7 linked regions of the Ovis aries genome follow. The protein of the gene in region 3 purifies or fractionates together with the protein of the main gene of each other region. This does not show direct contact. Links are inferred from orthologs where the notes say so. Each region holds a gene or a part of one and is shown on either strand. Other genes may lie near its edges.

What was found.
Region 1: the proteins of SRPK2 (region 3) and ACIN1 purify together in Homo sapiens (affinity purification with mass spectrometry; 3 studies listed by BioGRID and IntAct, with this or other methods). This does not show direct contact. The link is inferred for Ovis aries from reciprocal best matches to the Homo sapiens genes SRPK2 and ACIN1.
Region 2: the proteins of SRPK2 (region 3) and SCAF1 purify together in Homo sapiens (affinity purification with mass spectrometry; 3 studies listed by BioGRID and IntAct, with this or other methods). This does not show direct contact. The link is inferred for Ovis aries from reciprocal best matches to the Homo sapiens genes SRPK2 and SCAF1.
Region 4: the proteins of SRPK2 (region 3) and TJP2 purify together in Homo sapiens (affinity purification with mass spectrometry; 3 studies listed by BioGRID and IntAct, with this or other methods). This does not show direct contact. The link is inferred for Ovis aries from reciprocal best matches to the Homo sapiens genes SRPK2 and TJP2.
Region 5: the proteins of SRPK2 (region 3) and ZNF638 purify together in Homo sapiens (affinity purification with mass spectrometry; 3 studies listed by BioGRID and IntAct, with this or other methods). This does not show direct contact. The link is inferred for Ovis aries from reciprocal best matches to the Homo sapiens genes SRPK2 and ZNF638.
Region 6: the proteins of SRPK2 (region 3) and GTPBP4 purify together in Homo sapiens (affinity purification with mass spectrometry; 3 studies listed by BioGRID and IntAct, with this or other methods). This does not show direct contact. The link is inferred for Ovis aries from reciprocal best matches to the Homo sapiens genes SRPK2 and GTPBP4.
Region 7: the proteins of SRPK2 (region 3) and RBM27 purify together in Homo sapiens (affinity purification with mass spectrometry; 3 studies listed by BioGRID and IntAct, with this or other methods). This does not show direct contact. The link is inferred for Ovis aries from reciprocal best matches to the Homo sapiens genes SRPK2 and RBM27.

Annotation. Positions count from the first base shown.
Region 1 is NC_056060.1:21,576,730-21,580,739, reverse strand, and holds the start of ACIN1 (apoptotic chromatin condensation inducer in the nucleus), read right to left. Parts: upstream 2,801-4,010; 5' UTR 2,729-2,800; coding exon 2,282-2,728; intron 735-2,281; coding exon 669-734; intron 1-668. Other genes in the region: C7H14orf119 (uncharacterized protein C14orf119 homolog), read left to right, coding at 3,494-3,519.
Region 2 is NC_056067.1:55,789,947-55,793,874, reverse strand, and holds the end of SCAF1 (splicing factor, arginine/serine-rich 19), read right to left. Parts: coding exon 3,699-3,928; intron 3,096-3,698; coding exon 3,013-3,095; intron 2,805-3,012; coding exon 2,586-2,804; intron 1,294-2,585; coding exon 1,165-1,293; intron 934-1,164; coding exon 742-933; 3' UTR 501-741; downstream 1-500.
Region 3 is NC_056057.1:47,828,549-47,832,048, forward strand, and holds part of SRPK2 (SRSF protein kinase 2), read right to left. Parts: exon of another isoform or gene 535-3,500; coding exon 369-534; intron 1-368. UniProt on the Homo sapiens protein: Serine/arginine-rich protein-specific kinase which specifically phosphorylates its substrates at serine residues located in regions rich in arginine/serine dipeptides, known as RS domains and is involved in the phosphorylation of SR splicing factors and the regulation of splicing.
Region 4 is NC_056055.1:67,460,396-67,464,360, forward strand, and holds the start of TJP2 (tight junction protein ZO-2), read right to left. Parts: upstream 2,801-3,965; 5' UTR 2,767-2,800; coding exon 2,695-2,766; intron 1-2,694. UniProt on the Homo sapiens protein: Plays a role in tight junctions and adherens junctions. Acts as a positive regulator of RANKL-induced osteoclast differentiation, potentially via mediating downstream transcriptional activity.
Region 5 is NC_056056.1:93,306,815-93,310,314, reverse strand, and holds part of ZNF638 (zinc finger protein 638), read right to left. Parts: intron 3,221-3,500; coding exon 3,155-3,220; intron 1,300-3,154; coding exon 345-1,299; intron 1-344.
Region 6 is NC_056066.1:45,938,087-45,942,292, reverse strand, and holds the start of GTPBP4 (GTP-binding protein 4), read left to right. Parts: upstream 1-1,406; 5' UTR 1,407-1,471; coding exon 1,472-1,519; intron 1,520-2,372; coding exon 2,373-2,543; intron 2,544-3,803; coding exon 3,804-3,907; intron 3,908-3,987; coding exon 3,988-4,124; intron 4,125-4,206. UniProt on the Homo sapiens protein: Involved in the biogenesis of the 60S ribosomal subunit. Acts as a TP53 repressor, preventing TP53 stabilization and cell cycle arrest.
Region 7 is NC_056058.1:55,175,664-55,179,163, reverse strand, and holds part of RBM27 (RNA-binding protein 27), read right to left. Parts: intron 2,378-3,500; coding exon 2,286-2,377; intron 1,619-2,285; coding exon 1,425-1,618; intron 500-1,424; coding exon 236-499; intron 1-235. UniProt on the Homo sapiens protein: May be involved in the turnover of nuclear polyadenylated (pA+) RNA.

The sequences.
Region 1 (4,010 bases), on a different chromosome or scaffold from region 3:
AAACTCAATGCTATTCTAGCTTAGGGGGGAAATGTGAACTGCTGCTCACTTGGAAAGAAATTTCCTGTGGGAAGCCTCCAAAAGCATCTCCACAAAATCTCAGCAGTTATAAAACTATCGATCTAGTTCAACCTTTTCTCATCTCGGATACAGGGAAACTGAGGAAATCAAGGTCTCCAAAGGTTAAGTTTCTTGCTGCAAGTAACAATGCTCAGGAATGACTCCATAGTTAATATTAACACTGATAATGGTGGATGATCCCCAAAGGATTGATTTCTTGGAAAATTTATGTCAACACAAGAATTCTTCTTGGATCAGGAGGTATTTTCCTATACTGCCATGGTGACTGTCTACTTCATATCTACAAGGACATCAACTACTTCTCTCAAATCAATGTCAAATAAATGACTTCAGACCCTTGCACTCCACTTAATCAACTGGAACCACATCTTTCTGCACACACCATTTCAAGAATCAAAAATTAACTTAGAGCTCTTCTGATTCTTGACTTCTTTATTAGAATTCAATTGTCCCAGTAGGAAAACATTTTCAACCCAAGGAACTTAGGAAAATACTGGTGAGAAACCAAGCGCCAAACATACAACATCATGTCCTTCCCTGTCTCTGTGCATTCAGAGTTCACCCCGGTAATGAATCTTCTTTCTTACCTGGGAATTTGGCTGGAATGCAGCATGCGGGGTTGAGTGTTTTTGTAAATTTTCTAGCATTAGAGCCTGGTATAGAGAAGGGCAAAAGTCAGAAACCAGGAAAAACAAAAGCAAAAAATACCCCTCCCCCAATCTCTTCATCAAATGCAATGACTAACCATACACACTTAAACTGTACTTTTCCAAGGACCTAAATGCCCTTTACTAATACTGTTCTCATTCTTCAGAAGACCCTTAAAGGTAGCCATGGTTACTGCTACCAAATGTACAGATGTAAAATGCAGGCATATTGAAGAAATCTGGCTATGCAATAAAATCTGACAGTACTACAATCGCTATTGTCTTCTGCACTTCTGACTAGTGTTCCTTCTAAATCTGGCCCTTCACTTCAAATACTCAAACCAGGTTCAAACACATGAAACCATGATTTTGTCCTCAGTGAATTATTTGATCAGTTACCCAGATTAGATCTACTCAAATGAACTTGTATTGTTTCCAAAAGAGTGGCAACTAGATTTACCAAATTTATAAACACACACACACGAAACTGTCAGCTTCAGTATAAGCAACGGTCTGCCAACTTAACCCTTGAGCCAACCCAGCCCAAAACCGTACTGAGTGAGTGAGTGAGTGAAGTCGCTCAGTCGTGTCCGACTCTTTGCGACCCCGTGGACTGCAGCCTACCAGGCTCCTCTGTCTATGGGATTCTCCAGGCAAGAATACTGGAGTGGGTTACCATTTCCTTCTCCAGGGGAATCTTCCCGACCCAGGGATCGAACCCGGGTCTCCCGCATTGGAGGCAGACGCTTTAACCTCTGAGCCACCAGGGAAGCCCCCAAAACCGTACTAGTGGTCACGTATCCTAACTAACGCAAATCAAAATCAAGAGATCCTCACCTTCCCTCCATTTACACCAAATAAACACACCAATTCATCCGTCTACCTCTTGGCAATCCCACCCTAATCTACTTAAGCAGATTCAAAATCCCCAATACATACCAGCCCACCTCACCTCTCTCATCAATATTCACCAAACTCTTATCCACCCAAATTGCTTCAGGATGCCCTATAAAATATACACTTCTGGCTAACCAAGTCCCTTCAAATCAAGGCTTCTCTTCATCTCACCTCCTAATCTAGTCAAGCAGACATTTTTGCCCTACCCCAATTCTATTCATTCGGATACCAATAACCAACCCCATCAACCCCTCCGGCCAACTATACCCCTAACTCCGACCCAGCCCAACTCGCCCCCCTCAGGCCAGCAACGCCGGTGGTTGTAGTGGGATTTAACTCCTTCTGCAGCGCATGCGCCGAAACCACAGACACAAACAAGGAGGGGGTGGGGGAACGAGGAAGGAGCTTAAGACACTCCAGGAGAGTAGCGCGCACCCTCCCATTTTGGGCTCGCGCCGCTACCGTTAAGGCGGGAACCGGCGCTATTTCTACTCCAGCGCGAGCCTCGCCAACCACCGTGCGCGCGGATCCGGAGGCTCGCGCTGGCGGCCTGAGCTCGCTCGCGCCGAGCCCGGACACTGCGCCTGCGCCGCGGCAGAGACTCGGCTCTACCGGGTCCGCTTCCCTCCGACACCCCGGCAACGCCGTCTCCTCACCCCTTTGAGCCGCTTGACCAGGGCACTCTTCTGCCCGCTCTTGGCTAGGCCTCGCTGCTCCAGTGCGGCCTTCAGGTCGGTCACCCGCAGCGCCTGAAGAGGCTTCCCGTCCAGAGTCACCTCCTCCAGCTCCGCCATCTTGCGTGAGGTACTCGGGTCCGTCCCGACGGCTTCGGGCATCTTCGGTAATTTCCGCCAACGCCCTTCGAACGTACCGAGTTGGCCCCGCCCACTGCCATAGTCAACCCCTCGATTACCACTCAGAACTCCCCGGGTTCCTCCGGAAGTGCTCGGGTGTTTCCGTCTGCACATCGGCACCAATTGGTTCTTTCCAGCCTCCCAGCCTCTCCCCGCCTCCCGCATCCTGCTTTCAGAGCTCGGTTCTCTTCGTCTTACCGAGGTTTTGAATCGAATCCGTTCGGAAGCTGTCGACTCTGGCCTAGCCATAATCGGAATTTTTCGGCTATCTCCGGCCCTAAGGCTGAGGCGCTGTGGAACTTGGGTGTTTGGGGCGGGTCCGGGGCCGGAAGTGCGTGGGCTGCCGGGTTGGCCCTCCTTAGGGTTTTCAGGAAACATGGAAGCGGCCGCGATAGTTGGAGTCTAAACCCTGTTGTGGCGGTCTCCGGGTGCCCTGTGAGAGAAAAGGGGAGGTAAGCGGGGTAGAAGTACCTCCCTCCTTGGGCTGGGCAAGACTCAGTGTTTGCGTGCTACCCTTAGTGTGGCAAGCCTCCAACTCTTCTACGGATACAGCTACCGCCTCCCATCTTCCGAATCTCCGCCACTCCCATCTAGGGCTGTGTTGCTCTTTGGGACCTCGGAATGCCAGATTCCGTGGCCTCCAAAGTGGAAGGTGGCAGCATAGTGTCTTTGGACCTGGCCTACGAACCAGTTCTTGATCATTGGACTTGAACTTGCCATTGAAGCTATGTCGCAAGACTCGGGAAAAGTTCTCCCTTTCTCTGAATAAGAGAATAATATTCCTTTAGGAAGAATTGCTTCTTGTAGGGCCACTGTGAAAAAGAAACCTCCTTGAGCTGTTTTGGTAGTGAACTGATGGTAATTGCTTCTGGGTTCCTTTGTCAGTAGAAACGCTCCAGCTTAGAACAGAAGAAACACAAACAGTAAAATATGTCGTAAACAAGTTGTTTTCATCGAGATTCAAACTGTGGAATTTGAGAACTATTCAAGCTGGTTGACCTCCCAACTGCATTAATGATGCTAAGGCCGGTCATCAACAGGTATTCTATTAAACACGAAGAAAAGTGTTCATACATGAATTGTCACAGCAGTATAACACTTGCTAGGTCCCTAAGCCAGCAAACCAACTAGACCGTTTTCTCAGTCCTTAAAAAAGAATTGGCTGCTTTTCCTGTTTTTCTTACTCTGTTATCTCATTTTGGACAAGGCACCCTCACTAACTCTGCTCTTCAATTTTTCCTGATGCTTTACAGGAAATATAAGAAAATAATACAGTTATAAAGTTCTTATTTCAGAGGCTACATGCACATTGCAGAGAAGGCTCTTTCACTGTATAAGATTTTCTCTCTCTTTTTTTTTAACCTACTGTTGATAGCTCAGAAAGGATTAGCATCTGGGTCCTGACCAGCTGCTTGGTAAATTAAAAAATGTATACCTTTTTTTCATTTTAGGGAAGATATATTGGACCAGTATTAATCGTTGATTTTTTTCTTTACTCAACCTAGAACATAGAATTAGGTGGGACAGAATG
Region 2 (3,928 bases), on a different chromosome or scaffold from region 3:
TAGTTAAAAAAAAAAAACAGGGGCTGACAGAGGCCTGACTTACTGTGTGGCCCTTGCTGGGCTGTGCTTCAGTCTCCCTCTATCTCGGGGGAGTCAATTAGATCACCCCAGCCTCAGGGAAGCAGGAGAAAGAATCCAACTGAATGGAGGACAAAGATCCGGTTTCTGGGGCAGTTCCAAAGCAGACAGATAGCAGCCAGTTGCCCTGAGCTGGGCAGACAGTGATCAGGTGGGTGGAGACCCCGCCCTCCCTCTCCACCCCAGCAACAGCTGGGGAGCTGCCAGGCCTGGTTCCAAGTGCTTCACCTGCCTTGGGTCTTTCTTAATCCTCAGCCCCCACTTTATACACGAAGAGTGAGGCCCTGGTGAGACGGCTGCACTTTCCCCAAGTCACACTGTCTATCCTCCCCGCTAACCACCCTCTCACTTGGGCCAAGTCTCCTCCCCGACACTTCCCAAACTGGACTTTGAGAAGGGTTAAAAATCATGGGGCTCAGGGGTAACATTTCATGAAACCTTTAATGAAACTGAGGGAGGGGCACGAACAAAGGGTCTGGGCGCGGGGCACAGGCTCTGGGGCGAGGGAGATGGGCGTGGGACAGGGCAGGGGCTCTCCTCTTTCCCGCAGCAGCCCTCCCCCAATCATCCCACTGACGGGGGAGGGACACGGGAAACGGAGCCATAAATACGTCCAGAATTCCAGAGAGGCAGCGAAGGAAGAAAGGGGCGGGGCCAGGAATCTCAGAGAGGGGGCAGGGGCAGGCCTGGGCCGCCTTTGTCAGGGGGCCCTGGCTCCTTGGGTGGCCGTGGGGGCCCCGGAGGGTCCCCTGGCTTGCGGCCGTGCTTGCGGAAGTAGCGGTAGCGTTGGACGTAGGCGCGCACCAGGTTGCTCACCTTCACTGGGTTGATCTCCCCACTTTTGCTGTGGCAGATCTGGGGGGCAAGGGGCAGCCGCAGTCACCACCAGCCCCCAGGGCCCCAGGGTGGGAGGCCCGCCCTCAGGTCCAGGCTGTCTGAACTTGACCCCCTGATGTCTGCTGGAGGAAATCCTATCTCCCTCTCACCTTCCAGACTGACCCACCGTCCCTGTCTGCCTGTCCGCTCACGCCCATCACGCAGTCTCCCCCCTGCCCACCCCGTGCATGTGTCTCCTCTGGGCCCCACCTTGTGGACGGCCTTCCTCAGGATGTCCTTGTACTCCTCCTTGGTGATGTCCTTCTTCTGATAATACGGCTTGATGGCCAGCTTCACCTCCTCCACCGCCCGCTCCTGTGTGTGCAGCTTCTTCAGATACTGGGAGGTGGTGACAGGGTGGGAAGGAGGGACAGCAAAGGCTGGGTGAGTTTCTGCAGAAGCCTGCCTCCACTCACCAGCCTGCCGGTTCAAACTTCCTGCCCACCCAGCTACTCCCGGAGGTGAAGTCCTGATGAGGGTCTGCCCTTGCTGCAGCCGCCCTGCCAGCCAGGCCAGGCCTGGGCCTCTCGGGGTCACCAGCATTTCCTCCAGGCTGGACCCTGGGCTGGCCCAGGCATCCCTGACCAGGATCCACGTGTCCGCTGCCCTTAAGTCTATTAGGGAGACAGACCTGAGCCAGGCGGCTGCTCCCTGCTGCCTCAGAGAGATGGGGGCAGCAAAACCGAGGCCTGGGAGGGCAGGACACCCCACACTTCAGGGCAGGATCTCCCCGGAGACAAGAATGCCAGCTGTCGGGCAAGCTGCTGCTGGGGGAGCCATGGACACCCCAGGGCGTCTCCTCAGGCCTCCCCAGCCCCACAGGAGTGGGTTTGAGACATGTGGCCAAGAGAAAGGGGTTGTGGCCCACCTCTGTCTCAGATGTGCCGAGACAACGGCAGGGCACAAACAGGGCAGCCTCCCCAGTGGCACAGGGACCTGCTGCTCGTCACAGAGCCCATACCGACCCTGTCCTGCAGCCCATGGCACCGGCCACAGGCAAGCGTCCATCAAAGCTGTGGCCCATCTCTGTTTATATGGGGCTTACAACACAAGGGTTTGTTCTGCCCGCCTTCTGGCACCTCACGCGGGCTGCAGAAAGGGTGAACAGCGCCATCATCTGGTGACAAGACAACAGTGACCAGTGTCCACACCAAAAAAAGGCACACAAGCCCTGAGACCCAGGAGCAGCCAGCTAGAGGAGCAGAAAAAACCCCGCTTGCCCTGTATCCTTTCTTCCTCCCTCCATCCACCAACAGACGCTTGATCTTTCGTTTGTATACCACCCCGTGCCCCGCTTACACAAAAAGACTGGGGTCAGTGAAAGAGACAGGTAACCCAGGGGCAGACTGCAGTGGGTATGTGCGTAAATACCAGTGTGTGTTCATATCCATCTCTCTCTCTACCCCCACCCCGATATGAAACTCTTAAAAAACCTGCCTAGAACCCCTTTCCCACCCTCTCGTCTAATCAAAAACAAGTTTCCTTCCTTACAATTGAGTGACTTCCCTTTCATCTAAATCCTCATCTGCTGGCATCAGTCCACAGCTCTCCTCAGGCCCTGCATCTCAGTATCTGGCTGTGATCTCGGCAGAACCGTCACCATCAACCCACCTCTCCCGAGCCCAGTTCACCTTGTCTGTGTCCCCTCGTCCCTCGGAGCTGCTGCTGCCCTCTCTCTTGTCAGACGCTGCAGCCAGCCCAGTGGGTGTGGGAGGGGTGGAGCCACAGCCTCCCAGCGGGAGGCTGCCAGGCAGCAGGTAGCTGGAAGGGCCAGGGGGCAGACCCAGGGAGGTGGGCACAGGAGCTGGGGTCACTCCCAGACTTGAGGGTGGCTTCCTGTGGCTGAGGATCTGTGGGGAAAGGTCAGAGGATAAGCAGGAGGGGACGACGGAACCGGTACCCCTGCTCCCACCCTGATTTCCCAACAGTCCCAGAGGCAACAGGCTCCTCTTCTGGTCGATACTCTGCTCCAGAGCCTGCCAGGAGCTGTAGTCCTCTCCTAACCCGAAGCAGGGGACAGGAAAGGGGGCAGCGGGGACTCCTCCCCAGGAAGCCCACCTGGTTGGTGGCCTGGATCAGCTCCTGGGCCTTTGCTCGGCTCGCCAGATTGGCTTCTTCCATCTTGAAGAGAAGTGCAGTCACTGCAGGAGGTGGGGAGCGGGAGTTGATGCAAGAGGAGAGGGTGAGCCTCCCCCAACCACTGCTGCCCCCTCGTTCCCACCCTGGCTGCAGGTCTTCGCTCAGGACCAACCAGGAAGAGTGGGCCTCAGGCACCGAGAGCCCGCCCACAGCCTGTGTTCTCAGGACTTCAGGTGTGCGGGGTGGGGCTGGTCCTGAGCCCCCGTGGCCGCTCCCCACGTCTGCAGTCTAGCAGACTACTGGCGTCCCCTAAGGGACCCTGCTCTCCCCATTCTTCCCAGTTCCTCCACCAAGCCTATTCCAGGCTGCCTCTATGCAGACCCCAGGACACAGCCCACCTCTCCCGGCTGTGTTGGAGTGGCCTGGCTGCCTGCTGCCCCTGCGACCCTGCTGCTCTCTTCCAGCACACCCAGACGTCGTGGAGTCTTCTGGACAGATGTTGACTGGCCCTCGCCCACCTGAGGTCCTCCTGGTCCTGGTCATTATACACCCAGCCCTTCCAAGGTGTCTCCACCACTGCCTCCAAGCTCATCCCCAAATGACCTTCTTCTCCTGGATCCCGTCTGTCTGCCCCCGCCTGCCCTAGGCCCCTGGGGGACACTCACAGGCCAGGACGCCGCTGGTAGTGCAGTCCACGCCTGCAGGCAGGTTCCAGGGCATGGGCGGAGGCAGGGTGGGCAGCTGGGAGACGCGGGGAGCAGGCCCGTCCTCCGCCCCCGAGTCACCGGCTGTGGACCCTGCGCTTGGGGCAGCGCTCGGTGCGGCGGCCGCCGTGCTGGTGGCTGTGGTGGTGGCCGGCTGCTGCTCCTCCTCCTCTTCCTCCTCCTCCTCCTCT
Region 3 (3,500 bases):
TGTAACTATGCTCAATGGAGACAAGGAAGCATGCTGACGATTGTAGGTTGGCTACAGGAAACCTGTTACTATACACTCCTTTGTAGAGAAGTGGCCGACGCAGACAGAGTTCAAATGAAAATGAAGCAGCAGGTAAGAAGAATTCAGTGACCTTTTAAGGGAGGACAAAGCTAAGTAATTCAAATATTAAAGTACGACTTAACTGGGGCATCTTCCTTCTCAAGAAAAAGGTCTAATTATTACCAGTCATCGGGCTCTTATGCAAGTTCCTAACATGTACACGTTTAACTCAACTGCTTCCTATGAACAACTTTGCAGGCTCTCAATGCCCCTACACAGACTGACACAAAGCTGGCCCAGCCTCTCACCTGCAGACCCTGAAGGAGGAGGAGCGCCCGCTTTCTGCCACTCGGTGGCCTCGGCTGCCATTCTTCTCACATATGCATCGTCCACACACATCAAGATGTTTTCTGGCTTTATGTCAGTATGAATGATCTTGCACTTACTGTGGAGATAATCTAACCCCTGAAGGACCTGATCACATAAAATCAGGAAGGAGTTATTAATACTTCTATTATTCAACATTTATTTGTAAAATAGTTACAGTCATTACAAGGCACAATAGGAACTTGGGCCCGACAGGAACCCAGCTCCTTCCCATAAGCAACCAGTGTATATCATTCTGGAGATAATTTATGCTCATATAAGAAAATGCATTTAAACATATGCTTATTAAAATAACAACTTTGGTGAGATATAATTTACATGACACACAATTCACCCTTTTTTTTTCAATTCAACCTTTTAAGTGTACAATAGAATGGTTTTTAGATGTGCAACGGTCATCACTATATAATTTAGAACATGTTCATCACACAAAGACGAAACACTGCACCCATTAGCAGTCACTCCCCATCTCCTTCCAACTCCTCTAGCCCTAAGCAACCACTAATCTACTTTCCTGGCTTTGGACATTTTATGTAAGTGGAATGATACAGAGTGGTCTTTTGTACCTGGCCCAATACTTTCAAGGTTCATCCATGTGTAGCACATAGCAATACCTCATTTTTTTTAGATGCCAAATAATTTTCCACTGAAAATACATTTTGTTTAGTCATTCAATGATGAACATTTGAGTTCTTTCCATTTTATGGCTACTATAAATATATTGCTATAAACATTCATGTACAAGTTTCTATGTAGACATGTCTTTATTTTTCTTAGTAGCACAATTATTGGGTCATACTGTAACTCTATCTTTAGTCTTTCAATAAACTGCCAAGCTGTTTTATCCTATCTATGGCTGCATCATTTTACATTCCCATCAGCAATGTGCAAGGATTACAGTTTTTTCCGGATGATCAATACTTGTTATCTGTCTTTTCATTTTAGTCACTCTTGTGGGTGTGAAGTGTGTATCTCATTGATATGCATTCCCATAATGGCTAATGATGTCTGTACATTTCTAATATTGTAGGAAAGGAGAATTAGGTAGCTTTGGTACCCAGGCTATAAACTATATAGTACTGATTTAAAAGAAACTGCTAAACCAAGATACTCACATACTTACCATGTGTGTGTGTCTGTGTAAATATATATATAGCAAAAATTACAGAGTATGGTGACCTAAATGCCAGGCCAAAGTTTTTCTGGAATTATTTCCATAAGAGGGGAATTCTTTCTTTTCATAAGGAAAAAAAATATTTTAAAATACAGTTCATGTTCCCATATATTACAAATTCTACATGCTCAATAAACATTTGCATTTAATAAACATCTTCATTCAAACATTTTAAGTCATTTGGTGTCTTGATCACATTAGACAAGGAAGTGAGGAAAAGACAAGCAGAAGATATCTAATACTGAACAACTCGGAAAAGTTCTCAGCAAAAACCCAATGCTTCTGTCTACCTTCAGTTTCTGGCTAAACAATCTTGAAAGTAGAAGTCCCTCAGTCGTGTTCGACTCTTTGTGACCCCATGGACTATACAGTCCATGGAATTCTCCAGGCCAGAATACTGGAGTGGGTAGCCTTTCTCCAGGAGATCTTCCCAACCCAGGGATCCAACCCAGTTCTCCTGCTCTGCAGGCAGATTCTTTAGCAGCTGAGCCAATACCAGGGAAGCCCAAACAATCTTAAGATGACAAAACATTAGTAAGTGAAGGCACAGATTTCGCAAGGAAAGTAGAAGGAACATGAGTCTCTTAACCAAGATGAAAATCCTCATATTCATTTTAAAAACTTTTCCTTGGAAATACTTTCACATGACTTCACTGACTGAGCATCAGTTGAGCTCCTATAACAGGCTGCATATGCTTATAGATGTTTGATACACAGCAATAAACAAAGTTCCCCATCTCCACGAGGCTTTGACTTTACCTTAAAATTAATATTTAATGTTTTAGATAATACTTCAACTAGAATATGTTTAAATTATGTTTAAAATGTCCAAATACCAACAGTACGAAACATAGCATTATATGTTTCCATAGAGAATAAGGTTATAATTCTGAAGGGAACACAATTCAATGAGCCTGTATATATTCACTGGCATTCATGCATCTTCTTTGGGCAAACTGAAGTATCACATGGAGTTCTTATATATGAGTAGTAAGAGAAATTCTGAGAAGTACAAGAAATTAATGGACAAGTACACTGATGACTTCCCGTCTGTGGAAGTAAAAGGAATAAGACTTTTAGAAAGTTTAAACTATTTTTAATTATTTCAACTAAAATTTCACTTCAATCATCAAATATTAACTCAAAGTTAAAATGTCAGCATCTTTCCAAAAATATCTTTCACTACCATCTCATGAACAAGTTGTTCCTAACTTTCCACCTTAGTTCTTTCGTAGTTCTTAGGTTGTTTCACTGTGTGTGAAGCTGCTTAGGTAAGAGTTAATATGATCCAGTATCCAAATGTGTTAAAATGAATTTCAATGAAAATGAGACACTTGAGACAAGCAAAGTGTTCTCAGTAAGAATTTAAGGTTTCAGATATTTAATCCCTTTCATGGATCACTGCCTTGTTGTGGCGAAGGGGCTTGCATAACTCAATGAAGCTCTGAGCTATGCCATGCAGGGCCACCCAAGACAGACACATCATAGCAGAGAGTTCTGACAAAATGTGATCCACTAGAGGAGGGACTGGCAAACCACCCCAGTTATACCTGCCATGAGAACCTTCACAAACTATTAAAAAAGGTCAAAAAGATATGGCACCAAAAGATGAGTCCCCCAGGTCTAAGGTGTCCCATATGCGACTGGGGAAGAGTGGAGGAGAAGTACTAATAGAATGAATAAAGTGGCTGGGCTAAAGTGGATACAACGCTCGGTTGTGGATGTGTCTGGTTGTCAAAAGTAAAATCCGGTGCTGCAAAGAACAGTACTGCATAGGAACCTGGAATGTTAGGTCCATGAATCAAGGTGAGTTGTGAGTGATCAAGCAGGGGATGGTAAGAATAAACAATGACATCCTAGGAATCAGCAAACTAAAATG
Region 4 (3,965 bases), on a different chromosome or scaffold from region 3:
ACTTCAAAATTTTATTTTCAAAACATTCTCCTAGTATGAACCTCGCTTTTGTAATTCACTATTCTTCCTTAATAAGATTAAATTGCCTTTAAGTATTCCTGTGCTGCCTGCAGGAGTAATTTAAATTCAATTTGTCAGAGAAAGGATTAATCCCTTACCACTACTGTGACAATCACAGGAATGAATGAAATTTTTAAATCAATCAGACCTTGCCAAGTGCCAAAGACTTCATCAACTTGTTATGAAACTGCTCAGATTATAAGCAACCTTTTCTTACCTAGAGTTAATGGGCTGTGACATAACCCATTAACTACTTAAATTTTAAGAGAATATACTAAGAGATAAATTTCAAATCTTAATTTTAAAGGTAAAGAAATTAGAGTGAAATAAATTTTAATAGCTCTCTTGAGCATTAAAAATAAACCATGTTGCACACAACCCACAAAGCTGTGACTTTTTACAAGGGTCTCACAGAAAACCCTTCATTCTTTCATTCCTTCACTTATTCAGTCACTCAACCACGGGTGTGCCCAAAACAGCAAATCACTGACTGTCTTCTCTGCCTCATCTGTATCTTTCTAGAAACACAGAGCACCCTACACAATCACAGAAAATCAGCTCCCGATACATCCCCAGGGACAGCCTGCAGTCATGTATCAGCTTAGGAAACAGCTGAGACCACGCCTTTCAAACTGGGCCAATGGGCCCCACCCAACCTGTGCTGGGCTGTGCAGAGATCCGAGAATTGCCATCAATATTTAGCCACTGCATGAATGCAGGCAGGGAGCTGCTTAGCCTTCAGAAAGCTTCACATGCAAGACCATAGGAAAAGTACATACATATATCAGGCAGGGTAAAGGGACTCGTATTCACGATGCAATGATTTCTCTGCTGGTCAGAGGCCCAAGAGAAATGTGCCAGTATGTGCGCACAGATCCACAAAGTATTCACAGCAGGAATGTTTCAACAGCCCAAACTGAGACAACCTGAATGATCTATCAAGGGCAGAACAGACGAACAAATTGTGATATGTTATTAAAATGCAATGCTATACTGCAATGAAAACTAGAGCCACACACCCACAGCACAGGAGTGTCTCAAACATAACACGGAGTGAAAAAACATCCTGCAAGGGTTTATATAGATAGCTATCATTTTTACATAATTCAAAGATGGAAATGTGAATATACGGGACGCCACTGCACTGCACACTTTTGTTTAGAGGTGTTTGTGTGTGTGTGTGACCCAGGATGAGGTAGATGAGTGAGAAAGGACCTTGGGTCCACCCTAGTGAGGGTCCATGGGTATCATGACGGGCTCACGAGTATATTTTATAATTACACTTTATGATTTAGATATATAATTCTCTTATATACCAAACACTCTGTAAGTTAAAAAACGGTGGGGGGGGGGGGAGGAAAGGTGGGCTCATGAGTAAACACCAAAGGGCACCCAATGATTCCTAGCCCAAGGACCTCATACCAATATTTGTTAATGCAGAACAGACGGCAAAGCCAAAGAGCAAAAGTGCAATCATTCAGACTGCCAGGGGGCAAGGAGGGGATGGGAGCAGTAATTTGAGAAGTGCATGAAGGCAGGCAAGGTGCAGAAGCAGGCTGGCTCCGGAGGAGCAGAAGGCTGCAGAAGAAGCCGAGTCTCCTTTTCAACCCAAGAGACAACATTCCGGCAGCAGGAGGATCTCCAGTGATCTCCCCCACATCACTTTCACTTTTTCTATATGTAAGGTGAATAACCATCCCCACGAAATTGTAATGACTCATTCCTAGACAACACAGAAAGATAAAAGGGGGCCGTTTTTAAAAACTGTAAATAAAAAGCTTTGTGTTGGCAGTAACGTATATACATGCAGAATGAAAAAGGGACAAATAGTTATTTGATTTGTCTCTAAAATTACTCTCTAGTTGTTAAAGTTTCTTTCCTTTGAAAAATCTTGGCCAAACAGGTAAATTCCATATTTTACATAAAGAATATCGAAATGTGATAAAAACCAACTAGGAGGCAGTTACTAAAAGTCTTCACTGCCTTGACTCTCCCAACAGGAAATTTTTAAGCTTTTTATCTACAAACTGTTGGTTTTCAGCGATGGAAAGTCAGAGCCAGAGATGAATCAATATCTGCCCATAAGGGACATGTTTGATAAAAATCCCATCATAGAAGTAAACACTTATACATGTTATAGTGCACTCCATGTTCAATCCATTGGGGGAAAAAAAGAACAAGGGAAAAACTTTTTTCTATCATTTAGAAACCAAGATAAAAAGAATACTAACAGATAATAGTAAGAAGAAAAATATAGATTTCTGCTGGATAAGGAAGCAGAAAGCTTTTTACCCAAAATAAGAAATTACAATTACCCAAATACAAACAAACATCTTCCCCAGAAAGCAACACCCTGCTTGCAGATTCCCAACACAGGGGAAACAGCAGCCTTTGATACGTAAATCCCATTAAGAGGCTATCAGTTTCACATAAGTCTGCCTAATATAAGACAAGTATTTTTTAAACCCACCAATGACTACAATCTGCATCTCACAGTTTGTTCCTGAGGGCTGCCAGAAGCACAAATAAATCAGAGGAGAAAGGAATCACTGTGAGAAGGCTCCCCCTCCCAATTTCCCACAAAGAAAGGTTGGGGAAGAAAAGGGGGAAAGGAGAGCTTGCGGAGGGACTCACATGGCCTTTCAATCTCCCCAACTTTTTAACAGCCTGGACCCACATCCTCTGGAGGAACTGCGCGGTCTTCATGGCCTCTGGAGGGTGACTAGCCAGAGCACTGCCTACATCCCAGGCTGCTCGCCCATTGCCACCACTCCACGTGGTTACGTAAGGCAGATACAATAGTGGCCCACATTCCCAGCAAATCCTGTTGTCATCTCACACAGTGACACATCCATACAGCGGGACACCGAACGCTCTGAAAAGCACTACTTATGAGGAAAAAGAAAGCATTCTGGATTTGCACCACTCTGCTGCTTTCCCTCCCTCTCTCCCATGCCAGGGAACTAGAGAATTAAGAGTAAATATTCCTTTTAGACATGTAAAATGATTCAGTATCTGAGCAGAAATTTTTAAGTTAAGGAGGACATTCTAGAGCAATGTTGTAGAAAGGAACACTTAGAGAAGTATTTACTTACATAGATGCCCCCCTTCACCCCCCTACACACACATACACGAAAAGCATAAGCTGGCTGAACAGCAACGGGTAATGTTTCAGGTGCCTGGAATTGCTGTTATCACCTAGAAAATTAAAAGGCTTGAAGATACGAAGCTGCTCATCCTTGGAGATAACTAAGTCTACACTCGGGCAGTGGGTACAGTCAGGGCCATAGCGGGGGCAGAGTGCTCACTCAGCAGAGCCTCCTCCTCTCTCGCCCCTTTCTGTAAACTTCACAGATAAAAGAATAACAAAGGGCCCTGCTCTCCACTTCTTTGTCTTCACCACTTGCAGAGGGTGGGGGTGGAAAAGCACATTTGGGGTTTTTGAACATCTAAGAAAACCTGTATGGGATGCTGGGGGTTTGGAAGCTGGGTTGGGATTTTGGAAGCATGGTCTTGGGGAGCGGTGGTCCTTGTCACTGTATATTGTATTTTACACCAATGGGCCAGACAGGCTGCAAGGGAGGAGCGAGCCCTCTACATTGTTTGAGGTTGTGTGCTCAGTCGTGTCTGATGCTTTGTGACCCCATGGACTGTAACCCTAACCCTAACCCTATGTAGCCCACCAGCCTCCTCTGTCCATGAGATTTTCCAGGCAAGAATACTGGAGTGGGTTGCCATTTCCTTCTCCAGAGGTTGAGGTTGAGATGTGAATTAAATGCAGACCACGAGATGCACACCACAAAAGGAGCAACTTGACACAGAGGCAAGGACGATCTGGGGGCCATCTCTGTCCTGTTACCGAGCTGTGGGGCCTGGGATAACTTATCTCCTTTACTAAATGAGGA
Region 5 (3,500 bases), on a different chromosome or scaffold from region 3:
TATGTCTAAGCAAAAACTAGGAGGCAGTCTGATATAAATAGCCTTCTACTTATCAAAAGCTGTATTATTCTCAGTAATACAAATATAACATTGGCATTCCAACTCTCATCTGGGTACCCTAGTTTGCCTTGTTTTTGTTATTTTTTTCTTGATACAGTACCTTAGGCCTCAGATCTGAACTAAGACAACTTTGTGAATCCTGAACATATTTCTCTGGAAAATATCACTTGGCCACAACTATCTGTTGGCTACAATGACATTATCAGTAACACTATAAAATATATTTTAAAAAATTTAAATGTAGTCCTCTCATAAAACAAAAATTACCACTTCTATGTATCTACCTGCTGAGCGTCTTTCAATCATGGTTTTCGGATTTTCTTCCATAACATTCTCATTTACTGGGCCCACTTGAGACAAAGCTTCAAGTTTTGTCTTCTTTTTGTCCACAGTTCTCTTTTTTCTATCACCTCTCTTATCAGTGGGATGGTCATTTTTCCTCTGTGTTAACTCAATTTTTAAATCACTGTCTCCATCTTCTTCCTCTCCAACTTCATCAACAGTAACAAAATTAAGCTCTTCTTTAAGGTTGTTAAAATCTGCCAGAGAGTCTTCATCCTCTTCAGTTACTTCATCTAAAGTCACTAAATGCAGATCACTGCTGTCATCCTGTATTTCGTCTACAGTAACTAAGGTAGAAGGGTCTTCAGGCATCTGAGAAGAAATGAATCCAATAGAATCCCTTCCAGTATTTCCCTCATCTCCTTTAGTATTTAAAGCAGCAAAACTGATATCTGTTGACTCATTTAAAGGTAGCTCTTCTACTTCCCCAATTTCATCCACAGTTACCAAGCGTTCTTGTTTAAGAAGATCTTGCTCTTCAGCCACAGACAGCACAGTAACATCTTTAGTTTCACTGTGAGAAATGCAGTCGTCTTGATCAATTAACTCATCTAATGTAAGAAGTGAGTTTGAATTTTTAACCATGTCTTCCACATTTATGTCATCTTCATCAATTACTTCATCCACAGTGACTAGAGCCTGTGCTAGCTGTGCAGCTGCGTCTTCCTCTTCCCCAATCTCATCCAATGTTACAAAAGACAACTCTCCCTCAACCACACGAGGAGCAGACATCTTTCCCTTCTTCTTCTTCAAGGTCAGTTCAGAGGCAGGGGTATTTTTGAGAGCTTCTTTCCTTTTTCCCTTCAGTGGATTCTGCTTGACTTGAAAAGGATTTACTTCTTCTATAACCTCATCCACAGTAACAAATTCATCCAAATTAAATGGAAATAAAGGTTCCTGTTTGGAACAACAACAAAAAAAAAATCAGAACTGTGAACAACTACTGATAACTGGCTAGGTCCAGTTTCAATAAATGTGCATGATGTATCTATCATTTGCGAAAATTTCAAGAGACGGTATGAGAATTTCAGCAGAGATGTTTCCTAAAGCTGAAATTATTTTTCAAAGCCCCCAAAAGCCAAAGAGTAAACAATGCCAAAGGTAAATCCTAACAATATCAATCCAATTTCAGTAAGATTACAATTATTTCCTAAATGATGTATGAGTTTTAAAATATGACACACAAAAATACTGCACTTAAAGCACTTATCAAACAATACAATGTAAAAGCTTACAGCTTCCATATGTTAAATGATATCTACTGAGAGTTTTGAAGAATTCACAGACTACTAAAAGCACTTCAAATGAAACTACAAAGTTAACAGTTAACTAGATTGTTCCAGTGATGAATTACACATATAATACATATTTTAAGATATGCAATATTAAGATACAGGCATACTTTGCTTTACTGTACTTTGCAGATACATTTTTTACAAATTGAAGATTTGTGAAAACCCTGTGATAAGCAAGTCTACTGGCTCCACTTTTTCAACAGCCATCTGCTAACTGCATGTCTCTGTCACATCTCACTAATTCTAACATTATTCAAACTTTTTCATCGTTAGTATATTTGTTATGATGATCCCTAGTTAGCGATCTTTGATGCTTCTATTTACAAAAGTTACTAAGTTACTGAAGGCTCAGATGATAGCATTTTTGGCAATAAGGAATTTTAAAATTAAGGTATGTACACTTCCTGAAGACACAATGCAACTGCACATTGAACAGAGTACAGTATAGCACAAACATAACTTGCATGCACTGGGAAACCAAAAAATTTATGTGACTCACTTTTCTTGTGATATTCACTTTACTATGGCAGTCTGGAACCAAACTTGTAATATCTCTAAGGTACGCCTATGTAAGGTTTATGTTTTGAGGAAGTTACATGGAAAACTTATTACTAAGACTTAATGACAAATATAACTACAATAAAAAAAAAATTAAAAAGAAACAGTTATCTGTGATTTGAAAAATGGTGCTAATACTAAAGAAAATAAATTCCTGGCAGGCCTCCTACACATTTAGTATGCTATCAATGGTCAATTACTAGCAAACATAATAATGGCATTAGAATACATACCCCACTAATTTGGGGGCAGGAGGGGGAATCTGTACACAACTGTACGATCAATTTATTAAGCCATGAAACCAACCATAATCCTTACTTCTGGGTTTTTAAGCTAGTAACATTTCTCCTTGCTCTAATAAAATAGGCTCAAATTTATCCCCTACCAGAAGAAAAAAGTAAAATAACTGAAAAAATAATCTATGAGTAACAGAAACCTAAAATACCAAACAGCCAAATAAAAATTATAGTATGTTTATTTGGCAGTAGATGTCAATAACCAGAAAGTAAATCTTAGAACCCATCTAGTTAGGGCAAATTGAACCATACCAAAAGGACCACAAACTGGAGAGGACTCCAGTCAAAAGTCAATCTCCTTTACACACAAGACTTTATTCTGTATTACAACCTATTCTTATTGAGAAGAGACTGGAGGTGTCTCCCTTTCTAATTCCCTTTCCATCCCTGTATAACTTTTTGCCCCACACTAAGAACACAAACTATTTAGCTTAGCTCAAGGTCAGAAAACAAACTGGTAGTAAGGTCAAAAATAAAATATCCCATTCCCGTCCCTTGCTCTATATCAAGCTAATTATTATAGGAGAGACACAAGTTACAAGGTAGACGAACTCTTAGGGAATGAAGGAACAGATGGGTCCATATTAGTGGACTGTTTCTTACCTCTTTGGATTTTGAACTTCTACCAGTGGTGTTTTTAGGATTCTTAGTGTTTTGCGTGGTCAAAGTCTGAAATATTAAATAAGAAACACAGAAAAACAGAATTTACAACTAGATTATTAATGTCCTTTAAAACAAACAAAAAACAGTGCAGAAAGCAAATATTACCCAAACACATTCAATGACACAAATATTTAATAGGTATTCCAAGTGAAGTCAACAATCATCTCCATAAACTGTAGTTAAACTTAGTTTTACTCATCTTTTCTTCTCAATAGCTACAATGTCTTATCAGTAAGTTGATAAATGAAGTTTTAATTTAAAAGAGAAAACGGTTTCCCATTTCAGA
Region 6 (4,206 bases), on a different chromosome or scaffold from region 3:
ACGCAGGTACAGTTTCCCGACGGATGTGGTCCTGGGCTCTACAAGGGAGTGGCCACCCATTAGCAGGTTATGGAGGCCAGTGTCTCAGTGCCCCAGCCTTCTCCGTCTGCTGCAGAGGGCAGCCATGGAGCCGACCACAGCCCTCTGCTTTGGGTGGGCTTTTCCTGCCCTGCTCATCTGTAGGGTTTTGTGGGTCTTGGGGGCCATCTCCTTCCTCCTGACCTCATCTCACCAGCAGCCTGTTTTGCACTCACAGCAGGTCAAAACCTGCTCTTGGCTCTTGGCTGCCCCTTCCGCTCTTGCGGTGGCAGTAGGAGGGGAGGGACTGCCCCCCTTCACAGGGCCCTGGGGATGGACCCATCTGCAGTCTGATTCTCAGAAAGGCTGTGCTGCAAATCTGGAATCGTGCCGGAAGTCAGTGCACAACTGACTGGAAGTGTCTGGTCCATACAGGCATTTGGGGCCACCCTTGGCAGGCAGAGCAAAGGTGGGGGGCAAAGTTCCAGGTGGAGTTCGCTGGGGCAAGGCAGTGGGCAGGTCAGTCAGCCACGGTCAGGGGAGCAGAGATGCTAAGACAAGAGCCAGAGTCACCGAGGCGGAGGGATAGATGAGGGGCTCCTGAGGAAGAAGAGGGACAAAAGGCCTGCGGCTGGCCTGGGTTGGGGGAAGGCTGGCAGTTCCGGTGGGGCCAAGATGGGGTGGTGGCGTAGGGTCGCCAGCGCGGCCTCGCGGGGGAGGAGAGGTGTCCCTTGTCGCACACGGCTGGGCCTCCACGGCCTTTATTTAATAAGATTCAGCAGGGGACTTCCCTGGGGGCCCGGTGGTTAAGACTGAGCTTTCAGTGCAGGGACGGATGTTCCATCCCTGGTGGGGAAGCTAAGATCCCACCCGCCTCACCGACCAAAAAATTAAAAAAAAGGAAGCGCGCTCACCGGGGGAGAAGCGATGTGAGCGCGCAAAGAGCAGACCCGCGCGCCCCCCACCTTCCTCTCACCCAGCCAGAGCCCGGGCCCACTCCCCCAGACCCCCCGATCTCCGGAGACCCCAGACTCCCCGAGACCCCTGGAGCCCTCCGAGCCCCTCTGACCCGCCCACCCTCACCCCCCAGGCTCCTAAAGGCCCCCCGGACCCCTGGCTCAGGTCAGCCAGGCCCTGGACCGGCTGGGCAGCACAGATGCCAGGGGAGGCCTCTCAAGACCCTCTCCTTTCCGCGGTGGGGACCGGACCTCAGCGCCGCCTTCCCGGCCCAGTCCTCCCGCCGCGCGCGCCCTCCGCCCTGGCCCTGCGACCCCTTCTCTGGCCCGGCGAGGGCGCTGTGTGACTCCGAGGCGGTGCGCGGGGAGCAGGGAGCGCCGGAACTGACGCACTGCCTACGCACCGCAGGCGGAAGTCCCGTCCTTCTCGGCGGAAGTTATTCCCCGGCTCCTCGGCGGATGTCCGGACGGCTGTCCCCTCGTGGCGAATCGCCGGCATGGCGCACTACAACTTCAAGAAGATCACGGTGGTGCCGTCCGCCAAGGTAAGAGGCCCCAAGGGCCCTTCTGCCTCCGCTTTTTTTGGCTAGGTCGCGGGACGCTGGAGCTCCGGTCTGTAACGGTGGGCTGGAAGGGGCCGCCTTCCCCGCCGGGCCCCTTCTTAGATCACGTTCTCTCCAGATTTGGGCCCCCTGGTTTGGGGTCCTCCCAGAGAGTGGGGGTCCTTCCTCAGAGATTAGGGCCCTCGGGGGTTGGGTTCTGGGGGTCCTTCCTCAGAGATTAGGGCCCTCAGGGGGTTGGGATCTGCCCGGAGGAGATGGGGAGAGTCAGGAAGCTCTATGAAGTAGGTGGGTCTGCGACGACTGGCGGCAGCGTGCCTCCCAGAGCCGGCGTTGTGCTTCCCAGAGCAGACAGCGTCGCACGCCGATATTCTTGGACGGCTTGCTCTGGACTTCATGCCGGAGTCTTTCAGGTCCACTTTACCTTGGGAAATTGAAAACACTGGTTTTTTGTGTGTGCTGTCAAAACTGGAGATACACAAACCGAAATAGTAGAACTGTTTATCCTTAAAACATGCTTTTTTCCTGCTTTGTGCTTGATTTTTCTGGGTACTTACCTTTCAGATGGTGTTAGGTGTATGGAATTTACGATAATGTCAAGAGTGTGGGATAAAGTTTATTTCAGCAGGCATTTGCTGAGTGTTTTCATAAAGGCAAGGAACCATAAAGATGAACAGAGCTTTACACTGAAGATTTAAGTAGAATAAGTGTTCGTAGTTTAAAATAGAAAAAGTGTTTGTAGTTTAAAATACATTGTTGAACATTAGTCTTTTAAGGTGATTTCAAATAAGTGGGTGAAAGGAGACATTTTTGGTGTAACTGTCTTATTTTATTGCAGGACTTTATTGACCTGACATTATCGAAGACTCAGCGAAAGACTCCGACAGTTATCCACAAACATTATCAAATCCATCGCATTAGACATTTTTATATGAGGAAAGTCAAATTTACTCAGCAGAATTACCATGACAGACTCTCACAAATTCTGACAGATTTCCCCAAATTGGATGTAAGTGACTCTGCGGGGGGGAAAGTGATTATGTAAATATGAACCTGCAGGCAAGGTTAAACCAGGTGTGTCTACTTAGTTGACTGATAGTGAAGGAAAGAGGAAATAATTGACTTGTCAAAGTTTACTCCGAAAGTTAGTAACAAAACTGGGAGCAGATCAGAGGTTTTTTGATTCCTTAGTATCTTGTTTCCCCAGTGAAACTCCGATCTCTGAAAGCCTTGGGCTTTCTCTGTAATCTCTAGGCTGTGGGGACAGTTGGGATTCTGAAAGCTGTGGACTGAATTCAGAACCCTAAGGTTCTGGTGGCCTATGCGTCCTCTCCTTCTTTCCAAAGCTCCCTTTCCTGTGGCTTCAGATGGGGCCAGTGGCTTGAGGCCCAGCAGTGTGTGTTATCTTGCTGCTGCGGTTTATGGTCAGTGTGCTTTTCTTATGAGAGTCAGTCTCATGGGGTGCTGCCTTCTTCATTGAGCCCCCGAAGTTAGGCCCTGCTGCACGGAGCCATCTGCCTGTGTGCTTAGCTGCAGGATGCAGGAGTGGACCCTGCCTGTGGAGCCCCTGAGTGGGACCACGTGGTTGCGAAGTTGCTGAGGTAGTGATGGATGTGGGGTCTGCAATACAGCCTGAGAGCCTCAACTGCCCTGAGATAGTCCCTGAAGGTGGGTTAAGGCTGAGAGAAGAGATTGGTTCATGTGACAGAAATTGCTGGTGTAAAATTCTAGGACTTGATGTTAGTGCTTAGTGGCTACTGGCTGGATGAGGGTATAGTTTCTGGGGAAAGTGCAGGTACTTCAGAAAGTACATGAGGATGAAAAATGCAGTAAGGATGAGGTGACAGCACCAGGAAACGCCTGTACAAATAGAAGAGGAGCAAAGAGACGGAGGTTTTAAAACTTTCTTCTTAAGTTTTCGGCAATAACAGCACATTTACAGGTTGATGGGACTGGCTGGATGGGTGGGAAAGTATTTCTGGAGCTCTCTTTTCGAGCCCAAGTGGTGGGCTCTGGTGCCCAGATGGAGTTGGGCCTGGCCAGGCCTGCGCAGGGCAGGTGGACTTCACTTACCTGCTGACTCTATTTTTTTTCTGTGACTAAATAGTCACTGAGAGAGACCTGGGGAGAAGATTGAGGGGGGAGGGTGGGTGATGAGGAAGAGCAGAAGGTGTGATGTGTTTCCCTAGGAAGTTATGTTCAAGTGTTATCCACACACAGGAGGAGAAGCTGCCAGACCAAGGTGACCATTCTGTTGTTCTTGTTACAGGATATTCATCCATTTTATGCAGATTTGATGAACATTCTCTATGACAAGGATCATTACAAGTTGGCTCTAGGACAAATAAACATTGCCAAAAATTTAGTGGACAAGTAAGGGATTTTCTTACTGTAGTATTTTTGAAGTTACTGTCAAAGGAGAGCAAAATCTTACATGTTTTTCTGTTTTTCAGCGTTGCTAAAGATTATGTGCGGCTCATGAAATATGGTGATTCTCTGTACCGCTGCAAGCAACTGAAACGCGCTGCTCTCGGGCGGATGTGTACTATTATCAAAAGACAGAAGCAGAGTTTGGAATATTTGGAACAAGGTACTGGTTATGCATCAGCAACTAACTACTTGTTAGTGCATTCTGTTAAAGTACTTGATTATTGTAGAGAGTTATTTTTATA
Region 7 (3,500 bases), on a different chromosome or scaffold from region 3:
TACAGTGTCGGAAGTAAAGAGGAAAACAAAACATAAATTAAAGGGTCAAATCTGAACACTATGTTAACAAGAACCAAACTATTATGTCCAACAAGTAAAGAAGCATATGCCAAAAGAGATTCTCCTCCTCACTCATCCCTTTTAATAACATCCAGACTGTAATGAAATGGTATGCACTACTAGCAACATTTACTTTACTAGTACTCTGGGGTACAATATAAAAGAGAATTTTTACCATCATAATCTCTGCATCGCCTCTTTGGTGGTGGGTTTCGACCAAAAGAATTGGAAGAGCTATGATTATTATAGTAATTAGACCAACTCTCCGTTGTGTTTTCAGAGTGGTGCGCAGGTGCGATCACAGTAACAGTGCTGGGAATAGACTGTGCCCCCGAGGAATACTGCTCAGAAGAGTTTGGAGCTGGTGCAGACACAGGCACATAGGAGCTCTCCAAGTCATTCCTTTCACTCTTAAACTTTGATCTTTCTCTATGTTCTGCTTTGGAGACAAAATAAAGACAAGAAACAAGTAAGACCAGACTTCTATGTTGTTAAACTATATTTATTTTCTCACAGAAAAGGCAAGATGAGAATACTGAAGTAAACTTACTGAGCTGTCCATATCTTAAAATGCTCTCATTATCACTATAGTCTAAAACCAGGAAAATCAACAATGTGATGGATCTTCACCAGTAACTTGTATAAAATCATTTTTATAACATCAACATCAATACATAATGAAGAAAGATCAGTTTCTCTACTGACTTAGTAAGAATGCTAAGAACTGACTTTCAAATTGATATCCTGGGATATCAGAGGTTGGGATCTCAGTAATCTACTGCCATTTTTTTCTTTTTAAATACTCTAGCCAACCTTAAAGCAAATCAATTATTTTCAGGCAGGGGGTGGGGGTGTGGGTATGGAAAGAGGCAACCCTCTCCCACCAGTAATAGTTTTGTTGATTAAAGGACATGTGTTTCAATTATATAAAATGACTTAAATTTAGACATGTCCTATGATACCTGAACAAATGGCTTCTTTTTCTTCAAACTCCTTTGACTCCACCCTGAGAATAGAGCCCTGATTTTGTAACAAAAATCAAGTTTTTGTGACACAATTACAGCTTTTACATTGCTCAGACATATTAAAGGTTGCTTGTTGGTGTTCAGTCCCTAAGTCATGTCTGACTCTTTGTGACCCCATGGACTGACTGCAGCATGCCAGGCTTGCCTGTCCTTCACTATATCCCGGAGTTTGCTTAGATTCATATCCATTAAGTCAGTGATGCTATCCAACCATTTCATCCTCTGCCGCCTCCTTCTCCTGTTGCCTTCAATGTTTCCATCAAAGTGATGTTCTGACACCCCTGTGATACAAGAAAACAAGCAACTGTAGAGTTTTAGGGGGAAGCCACTTGGACTCACCAACACTCCTATTTGGATCCCGGTCTTTGCTGCGCCCCCGGCTTCGACTCCGACTTCGACTCAGGCCTCGGCTCTTACTCCGGCTCTTACTCCTGCCTCTTCTCCAGTCATACTTCTCACGGTACAGTTCATTCCGCTCATAGTACCGGTCGTAGTCTCTCCACTTGCCATCTTCTCTTTTCTTCTCCCGTGTCCTGTAATATACAGATATGAAAGCCATAGATACACTACAGAAACCAGACAGAAAACAAATCTGGAATATGAATTATCCTCTGTGATTCATCAAAATTCGTAACTTCTAAGCTTTTCCAGAGAGCCGTAAAACCACTGCGTAATTCCTCTAATCCATTACATAAAAAGAAAAAACATTCTCTTCAAGTATACTGGGTGGGGAGAAATGAAAAAAAGAGGTGAATCCAAAGCATGGGGAGGGGTAAAAGGAAAAACATATTTAAAACTAGAAAAGACAAAAAGCTCAAAGCAAAGAGTTCCTAAACAAAAACTAATTTTTTGATGGTAGGCTGACGAATCAACATATAAATTGCACTACTTGTAATATAAAATGCTATGGACAATTTTAATACTGAGCACCCCTAACCAAATGGAACATTTCATTAATATTCTCTAAGGAGACTGCTCCCACCCCTGAGCTCCTGGGGAAAGCAGATAATGATTATTGTTTATAAAAGGAAGAGAAAGTATGACAAAGATAAAAAACACAGGGAATGGAAAAAAAAATTACTTCTCTAATCATTTTACAATGAAAGGAGTAGAGCATATGTCAAAAATCCTGCTAATGTCCTTATAAGGTAACTGAAAAGTGAGTTATCAATATTTTCCTAATTAAAGATAAACACAAACCTTCGTTCGCTAGATTCTGAACGAGTCTTCTGGGGACTAGGGTATTTCTTTTTTCTGCCATCTCGTTCTTCCTCTGCTGGCTCCTGAAACACCTACATGAAAATATTCGTTAGAAATAAGAACAGTTCTTCCATTAATTATAAAACACATCCACTTGATAAATTCTTCTGGCCACAAGAGAGGTCATAAATATACTTAAATATTAAAGTCAAAAAAAAAAAAAGTCAAATCACATCCCCCAAAGTTGGTCAACAGGAAAAAGTAAAAAAAGATGTTGAAATTACTTTGACAGCAATATGTTAAATTTTAAATATCACCCTAATAGCAGTGGAGGAAAACATTAATTCATTCTTTAAAATGTAACAGTAAAAATAACAAATCTCTACTTCTAAGTATCATATAGTAAAACGGTTTGTGTGTTTTCCTAATTATAAAATATATTCACAATATAATTCATTTGAGGAGAACTTTAGATTTATTTCATAGACAAAGTTTAAGGAACAAATGGTTAACCACTGCTATAAATCTAAGTATTTCATGTGAATTATGGAAAAATGGTATCAGAATTATTGGAAATGTTAAGGCTTCTTTAAAAACTTAAAGTCAAGATTGACCAGAAATACAGAACTAGTGATTCTATTAAAGTTTTTTAAACACAAGTTAATCTCATAACAAATACATGGCACTTCCCTGGTGGTCCAGCAGTACAGAATCCACCTGCCAATGTAGGGGACATGGGTTCAATCTCTGGTCTGGGAAGATCCCACATGCCTCAGGGCAACTAAGCCCATGCACCACAACTACTGAGCCCAGGTACCTAGAGCCTATGTTCCACAACAAGAAAAGCCATCTCAATGGGACACCCGCATACCACAACTACAGAGCAGCCCCTGCAACTAGACAAAGCCTACACGAGCAACGGAGACCCAGCACAGCCAAAAATAAATAAGTTAAAATATATATATATGGCCTTTACTAGAGAGAAATTAAGACAAATGAAGACATCTGGAAGAGCTAAACAAATGCCCATCTAATGAGAGGCTCGTTTAAAAATACACAAATCAGGAAATGAGTGAATGGAACAGAAGATAACAATTTAGTAAAATCCAGGCAACATAAAATGGCAGCCACAATATGACAACCATATGTTGCTGACAAAAACATTCTACAATTCTTAAACTATATTTAAAAATCATTCTCTCTACCAATTCACAG